Macaca mulatta: one gene and its partners. The protein of the gene in region 4 purifies or fractionates together with the protein of the main gene of each other region. This does not show direct contact. Links are inferred from orthologs where the notes say so. Each region holds a gene or a part of one and is shown on either strand. Other genes may lie near its edges.

Region 1 (2,607 bases), on a different chromosome or scaffold from region 4:
ACAGAAGGTTGGGACTAGCGGTGATTTTGTTGTTTTGACTTTCATTTCTCCAAATCTTTGATGAGCATGTGCCACTCTTTTATAATGAAACAAGCAAACAATAAGTTCTTACTACTTACTGAGTGAATAGTTGCTACTTAACCAATTATCCTAAAATTATACCAAGGAAACTAGGTTTGGGTCCAGCAAAGGATTCAAATGTGATATTCACTCGAGGTAAGGATAGTGGGATGCTGTGGGCTAGCACAGCAGAAAATTACTAGACCAGGGGAATCCACGGTCCTGAATTGAATCTTGGCTCTGTGTGACCCTGGGTATTGGATTTTGCAGCCTGACACATGAATGCTTGAACTAGAATAATGATTCTTAACCCTTAGTGGGTTACTGACCCCTCTGTCTATGTCTGAGGGTTCTGGGAACCCTCTCTCCAGGAAAAAGGAAACACACACACACACACACACACACACACACGCTCACAGAACTTTTAGAAGTAACTCTAGGAGGCATATGGACTCTCTGGAGGTCCACGGACCAAGTTAAGAACACTGGTCAGAGGCTGGGTGTGGTGGCTCACGGCTGTGATCCCAGCACTCTGGGAGGCCGAGGTGGGTGAATCACCTGAGGTCATGAGTTCGAGACTAGCCTGGCCAACATAGTGAAATCCCATCTCTACTAAAAACACAAAATTAGCGGGGCATGGCGGCACGTGCCTATAATTCCAGCTACTCAGGAGGCTGAGGCAGGATAATCGCTTGAACCTGGGATGCAGAGGTTGCAGTGAGCTGAGATCGCGCCACTGCATTCCAGCCTGGACGACAAGAGTGAAACTCCCTCTCAAAACAATCAAAAAGCCACTGGTCAGTATGCTGTCTTCTCTAGCTCCAGCTCCACAGCCAAACGAAAGCACAGTAGTTCCACTTCCTGTGTCTCTGCTAAGGGCCTGATCTAGCAGATGCCAAGATATGCCAAGGTCACCAGCTTCCTGTCCTAACCAACAGCCACCTCTCAGAAGGCTGGCTTAACTACTCAGCCCCAGTCTTCTTAGCAGATGGCAAGGAGCCCTGGCGAAGATTTTAGTCTAAAGAGAACCCTAGGCTGCTGATGCAACATCGAACTGTTAAGTCAAGCACAGCAAAAGGTCACCCCTTTTCCGGGGGGGCTGCTACCGAACCCTGGTATTCCAACTAGAAACGTGTTTTAAGGACACCCCTTTTCCGGGGGCACTGCTACTGAACCCTGGCATTCCAACTAGAAACGTGTTTTAAGGACACGGTTACTCCAGCCTCAGAACTCTCCAATGTGAGTAGGTAAGTACAGAGGGGATTACAAGTGAAGCCACAAAAAACAGTATTTGATCAGCAACAAAATATCTGAGACTTTCTTAAGCTACCTACGGCATATACTATTTTGTTCCATTTCTCATTTCTGTCATCAGCCGCTCACTCAGCTAACCCCAGGATTCAAATAGGACCACTGGTTTTTAATTTTTGAATATTCTATATTAAAAACAAAACAAGCTCTACTTCAAATGTCCAAACAAAAATCATACAGTGGTAAAACTGCTACAAAATGGTACTTTCAACAGGCTGGAGGTGGGGGTACGGGTGCCTTCTGTGTGCCTCAGTCACACCCGGGGGTTTTGCTTACCTAATTCTGCTTCTGAATAAGAAACATCAAAACAGCCAAGTGTCAGGAATGTGCCATTTACTGGGTACTCCCCCCAGACTCTGCTCCTCCTTCTAGGATTATTAGGGTTTCTCTCCCCGATTCCCCACCACCCACCCATGGCTAGCTCCCTTCGTGGGACTGACGCAAGGTAGGTCCCATCTCGAAGAGTGACCTAGAAGCGGGTACCAGGGCCTCCAACTGGAGGCAGAGAGAGCCACCCCTCCTCAAGAAACACCCTTGGGTGACAGAGCATGACATTCTAGGCAGTGCTGCCCAGCCCAGACTCCACAAACAACCCTTTTGGCCTTGAAGAAGCAGTCCAAAGCTGAGGGGCAGCTTGAGCCAGCTTGCAATCCCTCGGAGTTTACTGAGGGCTTTTTGTTGTTACTGATGACAGCAATTCCTCCTTGTAAACGAGCCACGCTACAACTCCCTGTAACTCAAAATGCAGGAAGGCGGTCGGGGGAGGTGGGTGACAGATTCACTGGTTTTTGTGTTTGAAGACAATTCCACATAATGCTACTAATGGGCCACTGGTAGGATTCCTCTTGCCACCCCACAGGCCACTGCAAAGCAAGTTACTATAAACACTTTTCCAACTGTGCAAGAAGTTTCTAGTTAACTGGCAACAAGCCTGAAAATTTGGTTCCGTATGTAGGTACAAAGCTGGTTCATCAAATCCCTGTTCTGGCCCTCAACCCAATGCATTTCAACTAAGGCATCGTCCACCTCCTTCTTAACATTTATCAGACACTTAAACAGGTACTGTCCAGCCACTCCTGGGAGCCGTTTCCCCCTTTCAGCCACTGGGCTGCTCAATTGCTCAGAAGCCTCTTGGTCCTGGGCTCCGTTGCTAGAGCCTTTACAACTTTCCAGAACCTCCCCCCCTCCCTTTTCCTCACTCCTTTCATCCTCCGTGGGCTCCGGGTTTTCCTCCTG
Region 2 (4,391 bases), on a different chromosome or scaffold from region 4:
CCTGGCCCAACCACGGATAGCCTGAGTCAAGAGAATCCCCTTCACAGTCAGACACCCAGCTTTGTCGCCGTGTGACCTTGGGCAAATGACCTCACCTCTGAGCCTCAATGTCCTCTTCTGCAAAATGGGTTAGTGATCCTGACTATGGGGCTGTTGATTCAGGATTCGGCGGAAACGCCCAGCACTTCCTGAGCACACAAAGAGTGCTGAGAAAATGGTAGCTGTTTTTTGCGATTATTGACCCGGGGCCTGATCAGCTCTGGCGCGACTCGGCGAAGGCGCGAGTCCTGCGGGTCCCATCCCTGCCTCCTGGAGAGCCAGGCTCCAGCGATAGAAGGCCCGGGCGTTGCTTGCTCGTCGCCTCCAGTGCCGCCGCGCCCCCTGGCGGCCGTCGGTTGCCATGTCAACGGAGGGTGGCGGGGACCGGGGGAGGCGGAGGCGGGGGCCGTTTTCTCCTCCCAGGGCCGGAGGACGCTCCCTCCGCGCCTCCCGCCTTCGCCTCTTGGGGGGGCACTCCGAGCCGGGGAGGAAGGGGCTCTCCGCGGCAGCCGGCATGTGGGGGTAAACTGAGGCACGCGGCTGGGCGCCCGCAGCCAGGTGCCGAGCGCGGGGCCCCACCTCCGAAGGCGGAGGAGGGGCCGCGGGCGGTGACGCGCCGAGGGCGGCCGGCGGACAGCGAGCGGGCGGGCGGGCGGGCGGGCGGTGGCGGCGGCGGCAGGTGCGGCCGCGGAGGGTGGGAGGGAGGAGGGCGGGGGCGGGCGGAGGAGGAGGGGAAGGCGAGGCCGGGCACCTCCCCCTTTATAACGCGCCCCCTCCCGGGCTCTCGGGCCGTCTCCTAGTCGGCTCTTCCCGTCTCGCCCCCTCGCCCGGCCGCCCCGGGCCCGGGCCCGGCCAGGGAGCCCCCAGGCCGCGGCTCGGGGGCTGCCCCCCCGCCCGCCGCCCCGCGCAGCCCGGCGGAGGCGGCGCCGTCGGAGGAGGAGGAGCAGGGCACTGCGGCTGGCCCCGGATCGGGCGCCAGAGCGGCAGCAGCTTCGGCAGCAGCGGCGGCCCGGGCCCATGCAGCGGGACGCGCCACCCCGAGCCCCAGCTCCGGCGCCCCGGCTCCCCGCGCCCCCGATCGGGGCCGCCGCCAGTAGTGGCGGCGGCGGAGGCGGGGGCAGCGGCGGCGGCGGAGGCGCCTCTGCAGCTCCGGCTCCCCCTGGCCTCTCGGGAACTACAAGTCCCAGGGGGCCTGGCGGCGGGCGGCGGGCGGAAGAGGCGGGGTCGGCGCCGCGAGGCCGGAAGTGGCCGTGGAGGCGGAAGTGGCGCGGCCGCGGAGGGGCCTGGAGCGCGGCGGCGGCGGGACCCGGAGCGGGAGCGGCAGCAGCAGCGGCTGGGGGCGGCGGCGGCGCGTTGGAGGCGGCCATGGCAAAGCAGTACGACTCGGTGGAGTGCCCCTTTTGTGATGAAGTTTCCAAATACGAGAAGCTCGCCAAGATCGGCCAAGGCACCTTCGGGTAAGGCTGGGCCCCTCGGGGCCGGGAGCCGTGGGCCTGCACCCCTAGGGCGGACGTCGGGATGCCCCGGGCCCCGCCCGAGTTGGTAGAGAAACCGTCTGTCCCCGGGCTTGCCCACTGGTCTTTAGGCCGCGCCGCACCCCGCCCCGGCCTGAAGGAGCCGGCTGGTGGGGAGGAGCCTGAGGCCGGTGGTGGGGGCGGGGAGGGGCTGCAGAGAGGCGCCCGTGAGGGGAACGGGATCTCTCCAAGAGACGCCCAAGTGAGGAGAAGGGACTGAGAGAAGGAAGCAGAAGCTCCGAACGAGACAGGGTGCCGGGTGGCGGGGTAGCCGCGTGCCCTGGGTACTTACCCCAGCCCCGCCCGGGAATCTTTTTGCTGCTGCCCCTCCTCCTGTAGTGGGGGAGGGGCGGGCCCTGCGGAAATCGCCTGATGAGCTCTCGGGTCTCCCTTTCCGCCTGCAGGGAGGTGTTTAAGGCCAGGCACCGCAAGACCGGCCAGAAGGTGGCTCTGAAGAAGGTGCTGATGGAAAACGAGAAGGAGGGGGTGAGTACGGATCGGGCGTGCGGGCCAGCCGTCTAACTGCCCAGGACCCCGGGTCGGTTTTCCACCCTGCTGCTTCTAGGAGTCTCAGGTTGAGATTTAATTTTTTTCGTAGTAGTTCAGAAATTTCCAGGGAATTTGGCCTCCACCCTAAAACTAAATGCTTCATTCTTAGGCAGTTATGGGTGAGACCGGGAGGGGGAGTTGATGCATGCATCGTGTGCACTTTAGTTCACGAAGTTAGGAAGCCTTTAAACACCTTTTTTTAGTGTTAAATTTTGCTTAATGTTAAAGAAAGATACATATGCATGCAAATTTTTGAAAAGTGACTAATACTCAGTTATTTAATGTGTTTAAAAGGAGCGGTCCCTCCACCCCATCTTAGCTCAAGTACAACGTCCCATAAACCTTCCTTTTCCTGATGTGCTTTAGCGAGGACATTTTTGAATCGTCATGTTTGTTGCCAACGAAACAGCCATAGAGCTGAAGTTTGAAGGCTGAAACCGCCGAGCATTTAGTGGCTAATAGCAAAGTATTGCTGTTTCAGTTTGTTGTCTCAAATCATCTCCTTGAAGTGTGCATGCTCCTACTATATCCATTTTACAGGCAGAGCTTCTGAGACAGCTGGTTTCAGAGCCCATGATCTTGCTCTGTCTCCCATCTTGCCTCTCAATATAGACCCCAGGGCTGGGCTCTGTACTGCGCTCACTCTTGACCACTTTCCCCTCTCTCCCACCCAGTTCCCCATTACCGCCTTGCGGGAGATCAAGATCCTTCAACTTCTAAAACATGAGAATGTGGTCAACTTGATTGAGATTTGTCGAACCAAAGGTAAGTTGTTTGGATCTTATGAGGAGATGACACTTGTAGCCTAAGGTTTTGTTCGTAAAGTTGGAACTAGACCCACCTAAACTGCCTCCTCTTAACTCAGATGGACCCATGGTGACTGCTTTCTCTGGTCCTCTTTCATCGTAGCTGGTGCTTCCTCGGGGTCTGCCCTGGCCCAGAAGAGGCACTCAGAAAATATTTGACCAGTGAAGGAAGGAACAGACAGATGCTCTGGAGGGCTTGGGTGCCCATGGGTTGGAGCAGGAAGAAAGAAACTGGTTGTGGGAAAGTGTGTTGGGTGTGGCTTTCTTGACTTTTTCTTCCTTGTATTCCTGCCTCAGCTTCACCCTATAACCGCTGCAAGGGCAGTATATACCTGGTGTTCGACTTCTGCGAGCATGACCTTGCTGGGCTGTTGAGCAATGTTTTGGTCAAGTTCACGCTGTCTGAGATCAAGAGGGTGATGCAGATGCTCCTTAACGGCCTCTACTATATCCACAGGAACAAGGTGGGGGCGAGAGCTGGGAGGAGGACCCAGGCTTGGGCTGGCCTTGGCTCCCACTACCGGGTGGATATCACTGAAGGAGCCACTCTTGCCCTTCTTGCAGATCCTGCATAGGGACATGAAGGCTGCTAACGTGCTTATCACTCGTGACGGGGTCCTGAAGCTGGCAGACTTTGGGCTGGCCCGGGCCTTCAGCCTGGCTAAGAACAGCCAGCCCAACCGCTACACCAACCGTGTGGTGACACTCTGGTACCGGCCCCCGGAGCTGTTGCTCGGTGAGGACTCCCGAGCGGGCCGAGGGGGGTGAGGGCCAGGCATCTACCTGGCCCCCGCCCCCCCACTGCCAGGGCTTCTTGAGCTGCCGGCCCTGGGGCATTGAGTCTCAGGAGGCCTCCGGGCTCAAGGGGCCCTCCTGGTGCGCTCTTCTTCCCAGGGGAGCGGGACTACGGCCCCCCCATTGACCTGTGGGGTGCTGGGTGCATCATGGCAGAGATGTGGACCCGCAGCCCCATCATGCAGGGCAACACGGAGCAGCACCAACTCGCCCTCATCAGTCAGCTCTGCGGCTCCATCACCCCTGAGGTACGGGGTCCCGGTCCCCCGGCAGAGGAGTGGGGAGTGGAATGGAGGGAGCGCTCCTCTCTGGAAGGGAGGCTGGTTTGGTGACAGGGCCTGCCCTTGAGAGCCACACAGGCTATGCGCCAGTCTTGGTTCCATCAGCCATTCTGTGGCCTTGGGCAGAACAACTGAGTCAGCGCTGGGTTTCTCTTCTGTGAACCAGAAATGTGACGTATGTCAGGGTTGGGCCTGGCATGTGGTATGTGCCAATCTGTGGCGGGCACTGCTTCTCTTGGGAGGGGTCGAGTTCTCTCTCCAGTAGTAGTCTGGGAGTCTCGAAGTGGAGCAGGTATTTTAGTCCTTTTAGGCCTTAACAAAGGGATAAGCCACGTACCTCCTGGCCGGACTTCATCCTCTGTCAACGCCCCCTCCCTCCCAGGTGTGGCCAAATGTGGACAACTATG
Region 3 (3,221 bases), on a different chromosome or scaffold from region 4:
CTCTTCTACTGTCCTTCCTTCTTGCACGCTCAGTCTCCTCCTAAGTCCTTTTGTGCCCCATTTTGTGTAGTAAGTGGTTTTGTTACTGTCTACCCACCGCCCACTCTCCCTCCCCTTTATCCAGGTTAATGGAGAGAAAAAGAGGATGAAATGAGGGAGTGGGTGAAGGCACAGAAACACAAGGGCTCACCTGGGCACCTGGGCTGCTGGCCCTGTGTCCCATCCACCTCTTGGTTTATTTGCTGGATTTATACTGGTCCATCTGTCTGTTTCCTTCTTTCTTTCTACTTCTGCAGCACATACAAGGTGTACTGAACTTGGAAGGGTTATCTGAAGTTACAGTGCGTAGCAGCAGTTGGGAAGGAGAGTAGGGTGGGGAAATAAGCCTGTAGACAGAGGATGCAGTGGTGGGGAAGGTAACCTGTTGGTTGGTCATTTGCTGTGGCCTGGTCTGCTGGTCTCAGGGAGGAAGCCCAGTGCCTGCCCTGTGGGAGGAGGTTACGTCCCTGGTCTGTGGGATCTGACTTGGTTCTGAATCTTGCCTCTTCCAGGGCCTGGCCTATGTGGAGTATGAAAATGAATCCCAGGCGTCGCAGGCTGTGATGAAGATGGACGGCATGACTATCAAAGAGAACGTCATCAAAGTGGCAATCAGCAACCCTCCTCAGAGGAAGGTTCCAGAGAAGCCGGAGACCAGGAAGGCACCAGGTGGCCCCATGCTTTTGCCGCAGACATACGGAGCGTAAGTGCTTGCATGGTAGACTAGTGCAAACTTCGTCCTGGCTGGCACCAGTTCATGGACCATGGGGGGATTAACCCGGCATGAATTAGCTTCCTGTTAGGACAGAAAAGCCAAGACGTGCTGTTCCTTGTGGTAATCACTGTGGTTCCACTGGAGCAAGGCGTCCAGAGCAGGATGCAAGCCTAGGCAGTGACCTCTGCCTGGTACTGGCCAATTTACACTTGTCATTTATTTCAGACAAAACTAAAGGCAGTGATTATTTTCAAGTCCCCTTTGCCAGTTGGAGCTATGTTTAAAACGAAATCTTATACCCACGTGTGTGCCAGTCTACAGCCCTAGCTATATGATCCACATAAGCTGTGCTTTTTGCCTGCTAGGGATGAGGAGGAGATAGCAGAATTGCCGGGTGACTGGGGAGGTCTGAGAGGTGATAGTCACACTGATCCCCTCTGAGTGCGACTGGTGCTCAGGGTTGATCTTTGCCAAAACTGAACAAGGCCAAGTCTGTCGAAGCAGTTTTTACTTAACAGCCAGAATTAAGGAGGCAGGGATTATCTCATCCTTTTTTCTTTTCCCCCTTTTAGCTTCTGGTTATATTTAAAACTATCTTGGTTTATTTTTACAAATAAATGAGGGGCCACAAATTGTTGCTTCAAAAGGTCCATTCAGTGTTTGCTCTTCTAGGAGGGGGAAGGGAAGGACGCAGCTGTCTCTACTGCCTCGTGCCCTGCAGCGCCCAAGTGCTGCAGCTCCTCAGGCCGAGAATGGCCCTGCCGCGGCTCCTGCAGTTGCCGCCTCAGCGGCCACCGAGGCACCCAAGATGTCCAATGCTGATTTTGCCAAGCTGTTTCTGAGAAAGTGAACGGGACTCTGGGAGACAGGAAATGCCTTACTTCACTCTGGCCCGGCGGACCTCCCACCACCCCGCGGTGCACTGGGGATGGACAGGCCTGGTGTGCTGCCCGCTCGCAACCACAGATGGCTCCTCTGCTTTAGACAGAAAGGGGGAAGGGGTTCTAAGTCAAGAGCCTTTCAGTGCTCCCTCATATTGAGGGCAGTGGCAGAAAAGTGACCACTCTGCAGGCTCCCTGGGCCCAGGATGTGGTGTCCCAAGATACGTTTGTGTCTTAAAGACTGAGGCACAGAAGCGAAACGAGAACACGGTTTTTGAGATGCAGTTGTCCAAATGTTTCTGGCCAGCTCCGGCCCCTTTTTGTATGACACTTCTCTTCTACACTGCACAGCACATGTGCCCGTCATTCTTTTAATTTTAAAAGATGAAATGGCAGATGCTAGTAATTCACCAGAATGGCCTATTACGGGGGTGGGTCTGAGGGAAGTCATCTATAAAACATTTGCTGGATTTTTGTTCAAGGGGGCTGTGCATTTTTATATTATGTATTTGTAAATGACATGTCAGCCATTATTTCATGTTTCCTAAAAGCAGAATATTTGCAACATTTGTTTTGTATAGGAATTATTTGTGCCACCTGCTGTGGACTGTTTTCTTTGCCTAGTGACTAGTGACCTGTGTTGTCTAAACATGAGTTCAGCCCTTTGGTTTTGTTTAATACCATGTCAAATGCAAACTTCAATTCTCCCCATTTAGCTTTATTAAACTGAAGTTCTCTTCAAAACTTCTTGCTGAATGGTACTCAGATGTGCATTCACATACAGATGTGTTTTGAAGTGGGTGTACCTTGCTTTACCTAATAGATGTGTAAATAGAGCTTCTGTAAGTCAAATCCCATTGTCACTTTGATTTAAATTATTTCAGCTGTGATGTGTCTTCAGTTTTTATACAATTCAGTTTATAGCAGTTTGACACTGGAGCTTTTGAGCTTTTTTACCTCACATCTTTATCAAATATTTATTGCTTTGAAAACAGCATTGCCAGTTCAGTAGGGGAAGCTTACTTTATTAAGACACTCTGGAGAAAGATGTCAGGGAATCCTTGTGTATGTCATAGGAATCAACTCCTCATTTATCTGTTGTGTAAGTAAGTTTTTGTGCATCAGTCGGGCTTTTCTATATTTTTTTAACTTAACATTTTTTAATATAACCGATTAAAAAGTAGACAGAACAGTAAAATAAACTCCTGTGTGCCTACCATTCAGCTTCCAGCATTCCTCAACTCCCAGCCCCTTTTCCTTTATGTCTGTCTCCCTTCCACCTTCTGTTATATTGAGGCATGTTCCAGATGTCATTGTGCTCGTCCAGTAATGTTGTGGCAGGTGTCTCAGGACTGAAAGGCCTTCACTCCTAGAAACATTAGTGGTAATCCCTTAATGTCAACTGTCCACTCAAATTTCCACCTTCCTATAAATATCAGCTCTCCTCCCTGTAAATTATTGGTTCGTAAGCCTCTTACATCTTTTAAAATGTAAGTTCCCCTCCGTCTCTTTTTTACACAAAACAAACTTTTTACTAGACTTCTGAATTAAATTCAAGCGCTGGCTGTTGACAGCAGCAAGAACCT
Region 4 (4,551 bases):
TCCCAGGACCATATCCTGTGCTTATTCTCACCCACAGACATTAAGTGGAGTGACTGCAGGTTTTGCAAGGGTAACCAACCCAGGTTTCAAAGGCAGACCTGTGGTTCCTTCCCTGCAGTTGGGGCTGGCAAAGTTTCACGACTATTCTTTCCTTTCTCTGAGAGAAATGAAGAGCCACATCCTTTAGGAAGCCTTTTCTAGAAGATAAGCTCATCACAACCCTCTAAAAAGACCATTCTTCAAGGCTTAACCCAATGCAATGCCAAAGATCCCAGCAGGCGGCCTAACTGGAGAGTTCTCTGGGGAGCTGTGTGGGGTCAGGGGACTCCGTGGGGCATGGGGCTCTCCTCTCTGCAGAGGAGTTTCTGGTTCTTCCCTCTCCCATTATCTAGGGTCAATGTGGAGAGGATCTACAGCCAAGTCACTTGGGTTCCTGACACTCTTCACAAACTGTCTAGAAAAACAAAAGCTGCTGATGGGAGCAAGGTGGCTATCAAAGGGCAGAAACGCCAATATTAGTCTGCTGCTACCCTAATCTCCCTAGAAGACATTCCATGCCCGACCCCCATCTCAGGCTCCTTCAGTCAACCTGAGGACCAAGTTCCACCTGGATCGAATTCCCTAGTGAGCAGCAGCCTTCAAGGGAAGGGAAGGTGGACCAGTGTGGATTATAGGCCAAGCCCAGAGCACTGCAAAAAAAAAAAAAGAGAGTCTTCCTTTATCTTGGAGATCCTTGCAGTCATGAGAAAGGACTCCAGGGTCAATGCCCCAAGGTAGAGACCCCACCTTTCCAGGTTATAAGAGGGGAGAGATGCCCAGCAGAGACTCTCACTTGCCAACCCAGACCTCTCTTTTGAGGAACTGGGTCATAACCTTCCCTGCCACATTCCCGTTTAATCTCATCTTCACACCTGACCCCTATTCCAAGAGCCTCTGGACCCTCTTACCGTGACGAAGACAACATTGTTGGGGAAGACTGATGTGTCCGCTCCATCCAAGGGCACTTGGGGGGCAGCGATGGGACCCCGGCTGGCAGTCAGCGAGGCTGGGAAGCAGCTCCTCTTTCGAACGGTGGTGGTCCCTTCCTCACCCTCTGCCCCCGGGTCCCCTTCCACAGTCTGGGGTGGGAGACGCAGCTCCTCGGAAAGGTAGTGTCGGATGTTCTGACGGGCAGAATGGATGAGCCGGGAATCTATATCCAAGCCCACCATGCGGGACGGGCCCCACTTGCAGGCAATGCTCAGGGTCAGATGGCCCACATTGCAGCCCAGATCTAGGACGTCCCGGCCCCGAAACCACTCAGGCTTCAACACCCGAAGGCGCCCATCCTCACAGGAAGGATTGCGGTACCCATAGTATTTGCAGTAATTCCCATACTGGAACTTGCGCTGTTGCTTTTTGAAGCCTGCTGCAGGCAGTGGGTGGTGGTGGTGGTGACGGCCTCCCCAACTCCCTCGGCCCTTTTCCTTGGAACCCTGGCCTCCACCCCTAGCCCCTGCCTCCGACTTGCTGGAAGTCCTGCGACGTTTGCGATGTCGGGAGGAGGAAGATGGGGGTGCAGAGGTAACTGAGGCAGCTGGAGGGGCTGATAGGGAGCCTGAGGGACCCTGTAGAGCAGATGGAAGCGGAGACACCACTTCATCCCTGCAGTTGATGGCTGTGTTGAGTTCATAGGGTTGGGGGGCATCCCGGTTCTGGCCTCTGTGCCGCGGCTGCTGTGAGGCGCCCTCCCCGTGGAGTGAGGGGGTGAGAGGGGCTGTGGGCAGCACGGGGTGGCTCTCACTCCCTCCGGCTGCCTGCTGCTGCTGGTGGTGCTGTCCCCGGTGTCTATGCCGCTTCCGACCAGTCTTGAGTGGCGAAGCAAGAACTACATGGCCCTCATCAGTGCAAGTATTGAGACTGAGCGGGTCAGTAATATCTTTGGGGATGAGGATCTCCACTGGATCTCGCCCTTTGGCCGGAAGGGGGGATGACTTAGGGGTCTCTGCGTTGAGGGCGCGGCTCACTTCCTCATCCAGGAGGCTATTCAGGTTCAGGGGATCAAAGATATTGCCCCCCAGGAGGAAGTTGGAGGGTAACACAGAGTCACAGTCCGAATTCACCCGCCTGCGCCTCTTGAAGGCCGGATGTTTAAAGCCTCCCCCACCTCCCCCTACATTACAGCTATTTCTCCTCTTGCCCCCGCCCCCCCCAGGTGGCCGGTGGGGCTGATAGCCATTGCGGGGTCGAGGAGGAGCAGGGGGACCCAGCTCTGTCCCGCCCCCTCCCCGGCGCTCCTCCCCCACGTCCGGGGGAGCGGCTCGCCCCGGGGGATCCGACAGGCGGGCCTCCCCGTGCGACTGCGCCTGGGGGCCGCCTCCTCGGTGCTGCTGCGCCTGGGGACCACCGGGGGGGGTGGCCGCGGCCCCGGGGCTCTCTCGACCGACCCCAGCGGCCGGGGACCCCGCAGACGGCGCGCAAGGACCCGGACCACGCTCCGTCCCGCCGCAGAGCTCCCCAGAGGCGGCCTCTTGGTGCGGTGGCACAGTGGGGCCGCCCCCTCCGCCCGACTCATCTTTGAGCGGCGGCGGCGGGGCCGGCACCAGAAACGGCTCCTTCTCCGCCGCCATCTCGATCATTTCCTCCCCTTATTCCGTCCCAGTCGGGGTAACGAGGGGGATCAGGGGGCTTAACCCCCCCTGCCTGGACCCTGCTCCCTTCCCCCCCTTTCCCGAGTGCGCGCGCAGCTCTGCTCTTCTCGCCTAGTCTCGCGCCCAAGCGCCTCCCCGCGAAGTGCGCCCCACTCGCCCGCGAGACCAAAACAAGATGCCCGCGACACCCGAACTACTCGAGCACTCAACCGCGCGTGCGCCGACCCCTTTCTCCTCCGCCACTACCACCCCGCCGCGAGCGCGCACGGCAAGCGCGCGTTCCCTTCGCCCCGGAACCACGCATGCGCACTCCGCCACCACCCTGGTTGCGCGCGCATCGGAGTACGAACCAACTTAACGGCTCTGGGAGTTTAAATATAACCCCCCACACAGCCCCCGCAAAAGCCCACCACCCCAAACTGACACCCTACTTCCCTGCGCAGCTAGGTCCGGCCCTACTGATCTCCTTTGTCTCTGCCGCGCGATCCCACCCACCGTAGGCGGGGGACGGGACCTGGTGTGAAAAGGTCTCCTTGACACCCGACCCTTGTTCCTGAGGAATGAGTCTCAGCGGTCTCCACCCGGCTCTAAATCCAACAACCTCCCCACCCCGCCTCCTTCCTCCCCCTAGTGGGCAGCGCCTGCGCACACCCTTTTGGGCTTGCGCGGGTACAGGCAGCACGTGCTGGAGGTGGCGCCCCGCCTCCCGTCTTAGGGGTAGGGCCTGTGACGTCGCTTCCTTAAGTTTGGTAAACGCAGCGTGCGTCAGCGCGATCCGGAGGGGCAGGGCTTCCCGACGAAGGGCGGTGCTCATGAATTATTCATGAGCTGTTGGTAGCACACCTCCCCCCTCTGCCCATCTTCTTAGAAGCGCTTCCGAAGGAGCAGAGAGACCCTACAAAGCCGAGGAAGGGCAGGAGTGGAACTGGGCTCAGTAAAACGCGATAGGTCATTATAACTCACCCCCCTCGAAAATATTCTCTGCTGAATTGGGGAAAAAGAAAAAGCACTAAAACAGCCGGTGTTGTCCAACTTCCTCTTCCCCCGAAACGGCTGAGTCGTTCTCTGGTTCCTCTGCCTTCCCCCAATCGCAATCACCTGGAGACGCCACACCACGCCTTCCTCTCCGCCTCCACACCCACGGCCCGGACCCCAACGCCTCCGCCCATTCCCGACGCCCGCTCACTGGCCCGTCAGCTCACGGGCCTCCCCAAACGCCCGCCGCGGCGCCGCGCCGACTTATATACCAGAGAGTGTGGGCGGGGACGGGGGTTCGGTCCGCGCTGGGCCCCCCCCCCCGCTTCGGCCAATGAGGAAGAAGCGAATCTACGGCGTTTTCCCGGGGAGATTCGCAGCCCGGTCTTCCTGCCAGCGGAGTGCTGGGCCGAGGAGCGGGTGACAGGGGTGACAGTGGGGTCCCGGAAAGTCTCAAATAAAATCCTAAAGTGAGGGCGTGAAGGAGACCAGCAGGAAGAGGAGGAATCAGGGAACGGAAAGAGGGAGGAAAAGGCAATCTGAAACAGAGAAAAGTTAGTAAGATGTGCTTCAAGAACAATCAGGCGCTGCGGCCGCCGCCTAAAAATATGTGACACCAAAGAGGATTCTGGGATTTGTAGTTTTCCCGGGACGTTCGGGTGAAAGATGGCGGAATTACCTCAGCCGCGGAAACGCAGACGCTGTTTCCAGTTGCGCATGCGCCTCAGACTCCGCGAGCGCGCCTCCCGGGGGTGGAGCTAGCGCGCCCGACGTCCTCGTGCCTTTTCTTGGTGGCGGGAAACCTGGGTTGAGGTGTGAGAGGCTTGCGGAGTCGCTGCGCCAGCTGGTTTTGCACCTCGCCTTTAGGTCCTCCTTGCTCCTGAAGGTAGCCGGCTAGTTTCTGGTTGTAGGTGAAGGTGCTAGGCGCCGCCAGTCCTGGCACCCG
Region 5 (4,146 bases), on a different chromosome or scaffold from region 4:
TTAAAAATGGTTAGAGTGGCAAAATTGTAATGTATATTTTACCACAATAAAAAGAAAATTAATTACAAAAAAAACCCCACCAAAACACATGGCTGAATCATTTACAGAAACTCATTTGACAGACATACAGTCAGTTCAATTTCTTCGGCAGATGTGTCTTTCCCCTGAAGGAATGAATTTCCTCAATAACTTTGGTGTTGTGCCTTTAGCATCATTCATTAAAAGACTCATGAATTTCACTTGAAAACTTTCTTTCAGGGCTAAATGATGAGAAATGTTTTGTTTTCTCCAGCAAAGTAGTGTGTTTCCCTTACAGTATTATTATGAATTAAATGTCTGAGCTCTTCTTACTTTAACTACTAGGAATAAAATCTGTGGCTGAATTCTGGTTTAAGTCCATGTCTTGTACCTAGTATATCATAGTATCCTCCCTGGCTTTGACTTTATTTTTTAATTTTGCCGTACATTTGTCAATTTAATTGTATGTATTCTTATTAGTCAGACTAAACCTTTGAGCAATAAGGTGAAGCAAACTAAATGCAATGTTATGACCTTTACAGCTCTTTAGCTTACCTGCATGTTCATGTAGCCATCTACAGATACCAGATAGCCCTTGTACTCCATTCCCCACTTAAGTTTCACCATCACTGGCTTTCCTGTTAGTCCATTGAGGAAAGGTTTGGGATTGAGGGGTAAACTCTGCACAAAGAACAAAAAAGGATCCAATTAATTATTTTTCCTCCCACCACCAACTCTCTTCTACTAAATACCAATATTTTGTGGTATGCAAATGAAGAAAACTCTTGACTCATTATTTTAGTACACAATTTTCACTTTCATTTATTGGAGAGTACCAGGGAAATTTAAATATCCAGTTAGCCAGTATCACCTTTAACCCATCAAAACAAAATACTCACTATTCACTTAAGATAACACCGACTACATACATCACTTACTGTTCTGAGCTCTAAAGAAACAAAGATAAAGGCACTTAAAAAAAAAAAAAATGCGGGCCAGAAAGGGTGGCTCATATCTGTAATTCCAGCATTCTGGAAGGCCAAGGCAGGGGGATCACTTGAGGCCAGAATTTCAAGACCAGCCCAGGCAACATAGTGAGACCACCTTCTCTACCAAAAATAGTCAGATGTGGTGGTGCACACCTGTAGTCCCGGCTACTAGGGAACAGAGCAAGACCTTGTCATAAATAAATAACAGAGTCCCTGTCAAGAAGTTGGAGATGGGGAGGGGGGCTCCTCACATACAAATAATTATACTGCATATTGCAACATAATAAGAGGAGATATACTAGGCACAAGGGTACCGAAGCAATCCAGGGAAAAAAGGAAAGGTTGCCTGAAATAAGTTAACCTCAGTTTTAAAGAATGAGAATTTATTTCCAGAGCGGGAAAAAATCCTGTTCCAGGCAAGGCTAGCTACTTATGTAAAAGGAGGGAAGAGTGAAGCAACAAGGTGATTTTGGGGACATACAATTCAGCATTGTCAGTCAAAGTCCCAAATATAAGACTACAGAAGGAAGCAGAGGGCAGATGACGCTTGACAGTCTTTAACTGTGGAAGCTAGGGCTAGGTCCTAAATGACTTTGTCACTAGCACTGCCTCTTATAGCAATCACTTAAAGTTTGCTCAGCAAACCATTAACATCTCCAGTGAATTCGGTTTTTGCCTTTTTCTGCTCACTCACCAGTCAAAGAAAGAACAGAACTAAGAAACTTGGCTACTAACCCCCTCTAACATAAACATATTCGGAGTGACTTGATGCGGCGATTACTCCAATAACCTAATGGGTCTCCAGTTTTCATTCTCCAATTTATTATCCACCACAGCAACATGATTTTTTAAAGTGCACATCAAATTGTCATATTTCTGCTTAAAATGATTCAATGGCTTCCAACTCAATCATTTTCAATTGATTTGGAGTACAATCAAAACCTCCCAATACAGCCTAAGAGGTCCTGTCCAACGCCTGCTCCTCCGACACCATCTCGTAACCACTCTTCCTGCAAGTGGCTGTACCTTTTTGTCAATTTCTCCAACTGACCAAGCTTTCTTTCCGGCCGCAGGTCTTATGCGCCTATTCTCTGTGCTCGGTACACTCCTCCTCCTGCTCTTTAAAGGGTCTATTTCATGACACTTAGGCTTCAGGTTAAATTCCACCTCCTAGGGAGGCCATCTCTGACTAAGCCTCTAAATGTCTAACGCGCACCCTCACAGCCTCCTGTCTGCATTCTTCTTAGCACTTATTACTTGCAATTGCATATTTGTTATTTTTTGACTGTCTGTCTTCCCCAACCGAGTTAAACTAGAGCATGGCCGTATCATTACTTTCATGCAATGAAAGTGAATTTTGGAGTGTGGTTAAGTGGGAAGTGCAAATTCTCTTTGAGTTTTACCCCGACCCTGTAGCCACAAATAAGAATATCCCAAGCCCGGATTCAAACAAAGAGGAGAAGGCACGGGCACTCCTAGAAAAAGAAAGGCATCGGGAGGAGCACGCGCCTCAGAAATCCTAAAAGCAGAGTGAAAGAAGCTGGCGACCGGGTGCGCGGCGCCTCACGCGGATGAATGGGAAACGCGCGAAGCAACCACTAGGCCCCGCGAGGTGGTCTCCCTCCTTCTCTTTCTCCCCGCTTCTCCCGCCGTTCTCGTTCTCCTTACCATCGTAACCACGGCCGAATATTGCAGGCTACTCACTGCCGACCAGGCTGCCGCTTGTCCCTCGTGACTACAGCAGGTACCCCAGGTCCCGAGCCGCTGAATTTCAAGAAAAATGGCCGCCAAACAGGAGTGTGACCTTTCACCTCCCACCACGGCCCTTCCTGCCTCTGTGATTGGACGAAAAGAGATGCGCGCTGATTGGAGGAGATGGTTGGACCAGTATCTCCTGGCAACCAGCAGCGGCTTGAGTTTGCGCCTGGCCGGCTGCGCGCGGGTCTTGGGAAACCCGCTCTGAGGAGCAAGGTGAGGCAGCCAAGGACTGGAGGCAGGCCGGTGTTGTAAATGTGCGGTCTGGGAGAGGCTGTGTGACGGATGTGACTTCTCCCCAACTTGGTTAATGGGGATTTTACTTTGTCTTTTTACACCCGTGAGAATGTTCAGGATCCCAGAGTTCCTTCCTCACTCTTCCAACAGGTTCCATGATTTGGGGGCGCCTCTGCCGCAGGCCGTTTCTACCTGAGTATTCTCTCTTCTGCAACACCCATTTCAACCCCTTTTAAAGGAATTCGGGGGTAGCCAGACAAGACTAGGGGCGGTGAAACGCACCGAAGGGAGTCGGATACAGAATTTATTTTAAACGAGGTCAGGTTGTGTCTGGGATACGGTGTCATGTCCCCCCACCCCCCACGACCCCGCCGGCCCCATCTTTCTTTTGCATCGCCAGCAGAGACTGGCACGGCCTTCTTACGTGCATTTGAAATTACCTAAGGGCGTAAGCAATATTTCCGCTGTCACGGATTAAAACTTTCGACGTAACGGTGTTATCTGAATCTCACTGGTTTTTGTCGTAATCCTAGTGAGTTCGGCTCACTCTGATCTGAAATGCTAAATGCAGTTCTTGGAGAACACGCCCTTTGGGAAGTAACGCTTTTTTGCGGCCCTGAAGAGATGGATTTGAGGTTGAGGATGAAATGTTGGTTGTTGAGGCACTGTGGAGCAGTGGGCAAGACTTTGGAGAGGGCCTGCATTCGGAACCTGCGTCTATCAGGCGCAGCCGGTGTTGGGCAGTGTCTTAACCCTCAGGGCCACTGTTTCCACGGCAGGAACGCGGCTTTAAAAACGGAACCATCCTCAGCGTGGTTGCGAGAATTTAACCTAAAACGGGGCTTGGCCTTGTAAAAGCTCAGTGTTTCACATAAGTGTTGAACACTGACAAGACAGTCATTGTCAGTGTAGTTTTTACCAAACAGTTATTAGATTTATTCACCCTAAACTTAAGTGGATTTCTTCCTTAGTTTGTATATTGTTTCATGAACTTTAAGTCTTTGTACAGACTTTGAGTTCCTACTATGTGTCAGGCTCTTTCAACAATTGTGGAAATCTTACCTTACCGTCTGATTCGGGGTGACAGCCCCGTTTTAGAGATGAGGAAGCAGGCCCAGCAGGTAACTGTTACCAGTTGAGGGTAGCT
Region 6 (4,062 bases), on a different chromosome or scaffold from region 4:
GAATATGTATCAATGAACTATTAGAAATTGCAATGTTTTTGTAGGTCAAAAAAATTGAATATTGACAATTTTATATGGTTCAGCCTAATCATTTTTTCCATCAGCGATATTGCATGTTATTGTTTATATATACGTTTATTTACTTAGCCTATCTGTTCTCTGTGAGGAACATTGCACAGTTTCTGAGATTTTGTTATGATAAAAGTCAGCATTGATAAGCCTCTGTGCACCTGTTTTAATGTAGGATCATTGGGAACTGAGCAGTAGCTTACAGGGCTTGAGAGGGGATTTAACCATTTAGTCAACCTCCACTCCTATCACCCTCCCTTCTTTGATAATGGGCAATTGAGAAAGGGCAAATGTGTATAAAAACTATGCAGATACAGTTTCAGGATTATTTCCTTCTTATTCTCAGCAGTGTCTTTTCCCAAGCTACATCAGTATCTAAATTTTGGAGTTACGGATGCTTCCGTTATTTCTGCAGATAGAATATTATTAGGTCAAAAATAATGTTTCCTTGTCCATTAGTATTATATAAAAGTGTCAGTTTCTCCCCACTCCAGCTATCATTGATTATTGGCAAAAATTTTAATGTATCCAAGTCTAATAGGCAAAGAAAGGCTGTCTTACTTAGATCTTAGGTGGGGGGTCTAAGTTCATATTTTTGTTTTACAAGAATTGAATAGCCAGTGTTTTTGAATTGAATGATCTATCCGTTCTGTATAGGACAGTTTAATTATATTGTGATTTTGGGGAAGATATTTTTCACAATTTACCCCCTCAAAATGTAGAAAGTAGAAAAAAGGAAGAAAGATCCCACCAAATTTGAACAATGTAGCGTGTTTTTAGAGTTAGGGAGATTTTCTTCTGGAAGGATTTCAAGTCTGGCATATTTTCATTGATTGTGGTTATGGCGCATTTAACTTTTCCAAACCAGCTTTTCTGTACCGCACATAGGAAGACCTGAGGATGAGTGTAAATTAGGATTGTTTGGCCAGTGGTGTGTGCAAACATTTATTGTACAACCAAGAATTCTTTCTTTAGTATTTTACACATTTAAAAAAATAGGCATGTCCATTGATCCCAGGTTGCTTATGGTTTCTAGAGGCCCCCTCTCAATGCAACAATGCTGTGGGGCCCTAGGGGTCCAGTAGCCCCCACCCCCCAGGTCATTGCGGTCAGGGAGGGCACTGGGACCCCTGCACTGCGGCAAACAAGCGCGCCTGCGCGGCCGCAGAGGCGGGCTAGTGCGCATGCTCAGGCGGGGATGTGTGCGAAGCCTGACGCTGCTGCAGCGAGTCTGGCGCAGAGCGGAGCGGCCGCCGGAGATGCCTGACGCATCGGTCTGAGGAGCGGTCAGTGACGCGATGGAGCGAGCAAGGTCAGCTGCGCCGGTGGCTTCTCTCAAGAGACAGCCTGGGGAGCAGCCACTTTTATTCATCAGATATTCCAAGTTTTCAGGACTTGGAGTACTCAATAAACTGGGCATTTGGGTCCTAAAGTCCTTTGTTCTGGAGAACCAGATCCGGAAGGTTCAGAGGCTTGTGGCTGTGCCATTCGCCCCGATGGTACCCTGTCCGCTCGCTTTGGGGCGCGTCCTCCATCCGCCCCCAGCTGTGGTGTCACCACAGGTCCTATTGCGGTGTCTGCGGTGGGAAGGGCGGTGGTGACGGGGAGCGTGTGGGGTCACCGCAGCCAGCCAGGGACATGGGCGGAGGTGGGTACATCGGAGTGACTGCAGTTCCGTGTGGCGAGGGTACGTGGGGGGACCGGTGCATCGGGATTTGAGGCGGAGGTAGGTATACTGGAGTGATCGTGGCGGGGCGAAGGTACGTGGAGTGACGGGTATTTAGGGGGTGTCGAGCGCAGGTGGGTGTACTGAAGTGGCCACTGCGTGGTGGAGCAGGGTACGTGGGGCGACTGGGGGGTATTCGTCGCAGTGACCGAGGCGAGGAGGCTGTGGCAGTGGACCAGGGGGATGAGTCGGTGCGACCGTGGTGGGGTTTGTGTTGGTGATCGCGGCGCGGGAAGGGTCTGTAGGAAGCGGCTGGGAGGTAGGAGGAAGGCGGCGGCGGTGGGCATTGGCGGCTTTGGTGGCAGTAGGCATGGCGGCGGTGGGCATGGCATGGAGGCGGTGGGCATGGCGGCCGCGGGGCCTGTTGCTGTCTGGAGTGACTAAGGGACGCTGAATGATCGCTGTGGCGGGGAGGGGGCATCAGGAGGGGCAGTAGCACAGTCAGCAGCCTTTAATTTTCCTGTGACCTGCGGTGGTCATCTGGTTTGTCTGCTGTGGTGATGGTGCTTTTTTATTAAAACTGCGCAACGCCTACACTGCCGCAGGGGCTGCAGAAATGCGTGGAATCCTTGCCTGGTGTACCCTTTAGGAACCCTCGCTTTTGAGGCTACAGCATAAGAAGACAGGAATGATGTGCAGAACTTGCATTTACACATCTTTTGACGGATAGGCCAGGCGATGCCTGAGGGTTACCTTTTTTTTCATTGTTTCTCTCTGGAACCGGGTTTTGGAAGGCTGTGTCGGCACAGCCTGGGGGTCTGTGTTGCGTCACTGCCATTGTGCGGCTCCTTCAAGATGGCCGCCGCTGCAGCGCCTTAGATCTGCGCAAGCGCCTCAGGGTAGGGGGGGGCCGCTTCCTCTCTCTAGAGCCGCCAGTGGGGAGGGGGCGGCTGGTGTGTGTGTGCTCAGCTTCTGCTGTTTTGAAGTTTCAGCCGTATCCTCTTTAGGGTGCAGTGGTAAGGAGAGGAGGCGGGCTAAGGTGGGCGGCTGCCTCCTCCCCAAAGCGCTGCCTGGGGAAGGATGCAGTTGCGCAGACGCAGCAGAGGTGACAGTCGCCTCCGTTTGCAATGGGGCGAGACGGGGAGCAGGGGAGTGGGGGCTTATGCAGCTTTTGCCTGGAAGGGATGGCAGCCCTCCCCTTCACCTGGCTGATACAGCAGCTGTTCCTTTCCGGTTGTGGCGCAGTAGAGGGGGGAGGAGGGAGATGGGTTGGCACAGGCGCCCCTAGCAAGCTTGGCAGCCACCCCTTACCCACCGTGCGGCTGTAGAGGATTGGAGGGGAATGTGGCTAGAGGCCAGGCATTTGTACCACCTCCGCCTGTGTGGGATGGCAGCTGCACTGGGCTGCTTTTCTGTTCTGCAGTAAACTGGGGTGGTGGGGGTCTGGAGGCCATCAAAGGTGCAGCCACCCCAAGACCTGCTGTGCTGCTTCAGGAAGCCTCCATTAATGATAGAGATTTTAAATTGGTTTTCTGACTCCCTAGAAAATCCTGCCTTTTCATTTTTGCAGTTCTTCTCTTGGTTGTGTTGTGCGCTAATTCTCTATTCGAAGTGGACTTGTTAACCCCTTTTTTAACTCCCTGTAGTCTTTGAGTTCCACTGGACACATTTGATAAATGCCAAATTTACTCTATTTAAGATTCACTTATCCTTCGTAATCTCTGGATAGTCCATTCTGATGCACGGCATACTTCCCTTAAATGGGTTGGGGGAAGAGGGTATCATGATGGCTCTTCCCAGCCAAGGTTGTAAGGTGTTTCAAACACTGGACCCCTTCATCTTCTGGGAGTTGAAAGCTGCAAGTTGTGTTTGCAGAAAGAGAATAAAAGAGAAGCAGAAAAGTGGAGACGATCTTATTGGGGTGGGGTTGTACTTGGGATCAGAGTTAATGTCTTCTTTTGGAATTTTAAATTAATGATGATCATTTTTGAAGTTGGAGCTACAAAAATTTGGTGAGAAAGGTTAATGAATAACTGCATTTTTATATTCCAGTACTTTAAAAAAAATCATTTTATTCTAAGGATTTTGTCTTCCTTCGCAGGACTTTCAGTGCTTGCCTTTTTTGTATTTACATTTTCCCTCTATCATAACTGGTATGTCTGGTTGCACTGAGTTGTAAGTAACAGAAAGGTTACATCTACGAAGCCCGAAAAGCCTTGTTCTGGAATAATCTGTTTTTGGGTAGTTTTAAAAATAGCAGGAGTCTGGGATTTTATATGATACTTATAATTTACTTTTTTTTCCTGCTTGCATGGAGATAGCACTTA
Region 7 (3,791 bases), on a different chromosome or scaffold from region 4:
AGAAACGTGAGATGTTACTCTTCCTCCCTTCTCCTAACAGTCTGAGAAGTAGAAGCAACAAGTCTCTAATACAAGATTTATTGAATGCTGGAGAGGTGATAAGTAACAATTCCATGCAGTCAGATCATATAAAGAATGACATAGTTAATACACGTGAATTGCATTTCCACTGACGTATTATCAGATTGGAAGGGATTTGGGTTGACATTTGTAATTGAGTTTGATATGGTAACACAGGGGCAAAGTTGGTTTGGTCAGCTGTGAAGCATGCAAAACCCAACTCGCCTGTCATCTAAACTGACCCATGTGGGGCCACCTTCTACTATTAAGTGCAGTCTTTAGGGGATAGATGGAGATCCTCATTTGTTCAAAATTACATATAATGCTTTTGCAAAAAGCAGTTTTTAAAATGTTGTGTCTGTCTTGAGTGTTAAATTACTTGTTTTAGTTTTGTAAATAGTGGTAAAATGCTGGGGCCTTGTATGATTGGAGTGTTTTTGTTGAAGTTGGGGATAGCGTGGTCCCTGCTTTCCCAAATTTATTGATGATTTGGTCTTATTTAAAGCAAATCTTAAGTGTATATCCAAGCTAAAATAATATTGACTCTGGTACATTTTAAATGAAAAAGCACATTATTCTCCCCTGTTAATCTGTTTTTGGAATGTGATATTACTAGACTGCCATAAAGAAGAATAACCCCAGGAAGTACCTTCGCAGTGTAGGAGATGGAGAGACTGTGGAGTTTGATGTTGTTGAAGGAGAAAAGGTGAGGATGCTTTTTGTGTAAAGGTTTGACTTCAGTATGGAAATATTTTGGAGGTCTCATCTGTTAGGATGGTGGCTCTAATGTGGATGGATGTGTTCAGGTGACCTCATGAACACAGGTGCATCAAGCCTAATGTTCTGGCTGCAGTTAGAGGGCAATCTCTTCAGAACAGTGAGGAACTGATATTTAGTCATTTCTGTGCACCCCTGGCCACGCAGTCGCCCACCCCCCTTTTTGTTTTCCTTAACTTTGTTTTTTGCTTTGTTTGAAATTTGTTGAAAGTGTTCTGATTTCCTTTGTCACTATCAATATGTAATGGCTTTTGTAGGGTGCGGAGGCAGCAAATGTTACAGGTCCTGGTGGTGTTCCAGTTCAAGGCAGTAAATATGCAGCAGACCGTAACCATTATAGACGCTATCCACGTCGTAGGGGTCCTCCACGCAATTACCAGCAAAATTACCAGAATAGTGAGAGTGGGGAAAAGAACGAGGGATCGGAGAGTGCTCCCGAAGGCCAGGCCCAACAACGCCGGCCCTACCGCAGGCGAAGGTTCCCACCTTACTACATGCGGAGACCCTATGGGCGTCGACCACAGTATTCCAACCCTCCTGTGCAGGGAGAAGTGATGGAGGTAAGTTTCACCATCAGCAACAGCAATGTGATAAGTTCTGGTAGGACTGTTTAGAGCTGTTAATCATATGGAAAGCACCTTTGATTCCTAGTAAGAACTAACAGGATTAATTTATAGTGTAGTCACAGTTACTAGATGGTCTGATTTTTTGTTTGTTTTTTAACTCTGGATTTCCTGGTAAGGTTATTATGTTACTGACCCAGTAGCCTTGATTTCCATTATCTTTTTCAGGGTGCTGACAACCAGGGTGCAGGAGAACAAGGTAGACCAGTGAGGCAGAATATGTATCGGGGATATAGACCACGATTCCGCAGGTATGGTCCACATAAACCTCTGTTAGAACTCAGCAATATCATGCCTCTCCCGCAGACTTTTGGACTCATTTTTCTGTTAACACTTCACGTTTCCTTTCATCAGATGCCTAAGAGGTGAACCTGTTAAAAACAGCTCATATAGATGAGGTCAGCTTTATACATAAATTTTTTTTTTTTAAATGATGAGGGTATGGAATTTCAAATTTTCTATCCTTGAACAGGTAAGATAATATTTTAAACCACGTCTTTTAAACCTGCCTCCTTGGTAGGGAGAAAGGAAAGCATTAGGAGTATCTGAATTGTACCATGGCATTAGTGAAGAATCAGCAGTAAGTGTTAACCACTTGAAATGGCATACATAATCTTCCACTAATTCTTAGTTTAGGTATGTACCCCCCCTTTTTTTGGAGTTGGGATGTCAGCTCAAAGTTGCAAAATGAAATTGCTCCATGAAGAATTTACATTCTGGGAGGAAAAATCTGGTCTATCATTAGACAACTAATCTATCTGCTTGAATGGGTATTAGAAATCTTATTAATAGATGTCATTATTAGAGTAATGGAGGAAAAATTCCGTGAGCCAAGCGTATTTTAGTCCATGCTGTGGTGTGCTTTAAGGCAGCGTTCCCAGTCCCACGATGGTAGGATAGAATGGTGTAATCGTTCTTTCTGTGAGGGTTTGCTATTGAAGTATTAAGTTTTCATAGGTGATCCCTAAAATCTGACAGGTACCTCTGAAGAATCAAACCAATACAGTAATAATGCATCTTAACTGATCACTTAAATCACAACTTTTAAATCCCCAAATTTTTAAGTGTCAAGTTTATTATTCTAGAAGTATCCAACATATCCAAAATATACTGTGAGTATATTTTGAGGGGGTTTCTGTATATAGGTTTTTAAATTTTACAAAAGTCGGAGCACTTAGTGTAGTTTTAGGAACTAGGGAATCTAGTTGAGGTTGTATTACATACTTATCAGCACGTGTACATTGAGAGTTTTGCAAGAGCAGCTGATGTCATCATATTTCTTGTGTTAATATATGTCCTGTCCTGAGTTTTCAGTTAAAAGAGCTGGGATCCTAACTGATCACTACTAGAATTGAAGATCTCTGATTCAGTTTTCTGCCAGGAGATTGTGTTAGCCAGATGCTGGATGTTGAAGATAGATGGGTTTTTATTTTTCAAAGTAGATCTAAAATAGGCTCTCATGTATTAAGTCCATGGGTTCCAGCAGCAGAATCTTTGGTTTACCTTTTTATTACACTGAAGAGCTTAAATGTTTTGCCAAACTAGTTTCATAGATGTCCTTAAAAATAGTATAATTTTGTGTTTGTATTCAGTACTTCAGTTCACTGTTGAGCAAATTGTTTTTATATTGACAAACAAGAAGCTTGAGATTGACTTGTCTCTTAGAAAGGTATCTTTATCCATTGTTACCCCTCCAGTGCAAAGGTTTTTGCCATTTCATTTAAGTTAGACTTAATGTCTACGTGTTTCCATGTTTAGAATGCTCAATCCTGCCAGATAGTTAGCAGAAGTAACATATAATTGCTTTGAAGTTATTAATGAATGCTAGACTTTCCAAACTCTGCAGGAATCTTTTGTTCAAATGAGAGTAAATGAAACATGCTGCGCCTAATGCATGGAGTGGTGTGGTAAAATCCTGGCTGGTGTGGGTTCAAGAGCAAATTGAAAGAGAAGTCTTAAGACAGAGTGTAGTACAAGTTTTGCTGAAAAGGAGACAGGTAGTAGGGGAAAATGGGGAGTGAAAAAGGGAGGGTTTTTTTTGAGAAATAATATTTATAGGCTGAAATGCAATCGAGGATAACGGTTGATGGCAGGAAAGTGACTGCTGGAATGTTTTCTTCCTCAGAGCGAGTTGGGTTTTGCCCACAGGTGAAAATGTTGACCTGTTGTTAGAAACCTGATGTTTTCATGTGTAAGAAACAAGAATACATGGGCAAACATGTTTAATGGGAAGACATGGAAGCCTTTGTTTGCTCAATTGAGTCAAAAGAAGAGGAAGTTTGAAAAGTTTGGGGCAAAGAACCCTGTAGCAGAGAAAATAGAGATGGTAAA

The links.
Region 1: the proteins of MEPCE (region 4) and METTL16 purify together in Homo sapiens (affinity purification with mass spectrometry; 3 studies listed by BioGRID). This does not show direct contact. The link is inferred for Macaca mulatta from reciprocal best matches to the Homo sapiens genes MEPCE and METTL16.
Region 2: the proteins of MEPCE (region 4) and CDK9 purify together in Homo sapiens (affinity purification with mass spectrometry; 10 studies listed by BioGRID and IntAct, counting the BioPlex papers as one, with this or other methods). This does not show direct contact. The link is inferred for Macaca mulatta from reciprocal best matches to the Homo sapiens genes MEPCE and CDK9.
Region 3: the proteins of MEPCE (region 4) and SART3 purify together in Homo sapiens (affinity purification with mass spectrometry; 6 studies listed by BioGRID and IntAct, counting the BioPlex papers as one, with this or other methods). This does not show direct contact. The link is inferred for Macaca mulatta from reciprocal best matches to the Homo sapiens genes MEPCE and SART3.
Region 5: the proteins of MEPCE (region 4) and SNRPF purify together in Homo sapiens (affinity purification with mass spectrometry; 4 studies listed by BioGRID and IntAct, counting the BioPlex papers as one, with this or other methods). This does not show direct contact. The link is inferred for Macaca mulatta from reciprocal best matches to the Homo sapiens genes MEPCE and SNRPF.
Region 6: the proteins of MEPCE (region 4) and SNRPN purify together in Homo sapiens (affinity purification with mass spectrometry; 3 studies listed by BioGRID and IntAct, counting the BioPlex papers as one, with this or other methods). This does not show direct contact. The link is inferred for Macaca mulatta from reciprocal best matches to the Homo sapiens genes MEPCE and SNRPN.
Region 7: the proteins of MEPCE (region 4) and YBX1 purify together in Homo sapiens (affinity purification with mass spectrometry; 3 studies listed by BioGRID and IntAct, with this or other methods). This does not show direct contact. The link is inferred for Macaca mulatta from reciprocal best matches to the Homo sapiens genes MEPCE and YBX1.

Annotation. Positions count from the first base shown.
Region 1 is NC_133421.1:3,966,251-3,968,857, forward strand, and holds part of METTL16 (RNA N(6)-adenosine-methyltransferase METTL16), read right to left. Parts: coding exon 2,287-2,607; 3' UTR 1-2,286. UniProt on the Homo sapiens protein: RNA N6-methyltransferase that methylates adenosine residues at the N(6) position of a subset of RNAs and is involved in S-adenosyl-L-methionine homeostasis by regulating expression of MAT2A transcripts.
Region 2 is NC_133420.1:19,920,429-19,924,819, reverse strand, and holds the start of CDK9 (cyclin-dependent kinase 9), read left to right. Parts: upstream 1-1,356; 5' UTR 1,357-1,404; coding exon 1,405-1,496; intron 1,497-1,957; coding exon 1,958-2,039; intron 2,040-2,776; coding exon 2,777-2,867; intron 2,868-3,205; coding exon 3,206-3,372; intron 3,373-3,472; coding exon 3,473-3,644; intron 3,645-3,802; coding exon 3,803-3,951; intron 3,952-4,366; coding exon 4,367-4,391. UniProt on the Homo sapiens protein: Protein kinase involved in the regulation of transcription.
Region 3 is NC_133416.1:115,652,635-115,655,855, reverse strand, and holds the end of SART3 (spliceosome associated factor 3, U4/U6 recycling protein), read left to right. Parts: intron 1-551; coding exon 552-742; intron 743-1,426; coding exon 1,427-1,604; 3' UTR 1,605-2,548; downstream 2,549-3,221. UniProt on the Homo sapiens protein: U6 snRNP-binding protein that functions as a recycling factor of the splicing machinery. Promotes the initial reassembly of U4 and U6 snRNPs following their ejection from the spliceosome during its maturation.
Region 4 is NC_133408.1:47,626,384-47,630,934, reverse strand, and holds the start of MEPCE (7SK snRNA methylphosphate capping enzyme), read right to left. Parts: upstream 3,017-4,551; 5' UTR 2,619-3,016; coding exon 948-2,618; intron 690-947; exon of another isoform or gene 608-689; intron 1-607. UniProt on the Homo sapiens protein: S-adenosyl-L-methionine-dependent methyltransferase that adds a methylphosphate cap at the 5'-end of 7SK snRNA (7SK RNA), leading to stabilize it.
Region 5 is NC_133416.1:103,187,213-103,191,358, reverse strand, and holds the start of SNRPF (small nuclear ribonucleoprotein F), read right to left. Parts: upstream 2,801-4,146; 5' UTR 2,679-2,800; coding exon 2,676-2,678; intron 700-2,675; coding exon 574-699; intron 1-573. UniProt on the Homo sapiens protein: Plays a role in pre-mRNA splicing as a core component of the spliceosomal U1, U2, U4 and U5 small nuclear ribonucleoproteins (snRNPs), the building blocks of the spliceosome.
Region 6 is NC_133412.1:5,020,402-5,024,463, reverse strand, and holds the start of SNRPN (small nuclear ribonucleoprotein-associated protein N), read left to right. Parts: upstream 1-1,262; 5' UTR 1,263-1,367; coding exon of another isoform or gene 1,368-1,381; intron 1,382-4,062. Other genes in the region: SNURF protein, read left to right, coding at 1,368-1,381.
Region 7 is NC_133406.1:198,061,814-198,065,604, reverse strand, and holds part of YBX1 (Y-box-binding protein 1), read left to right. Parts: intron 1-676; coding exon 677-766; intron 767-1,094; coding exon 1,095-1,397; intron 1,398-1,628; coding exon 1,629-1,711; intron 1,712-3,791. UniProt on the Homo sapiens protein: DNA- and RNA-binding protein involved in various processes, such as translational repression, RNA stabilization, mRNA splicing, DNA repair and transcription regulation.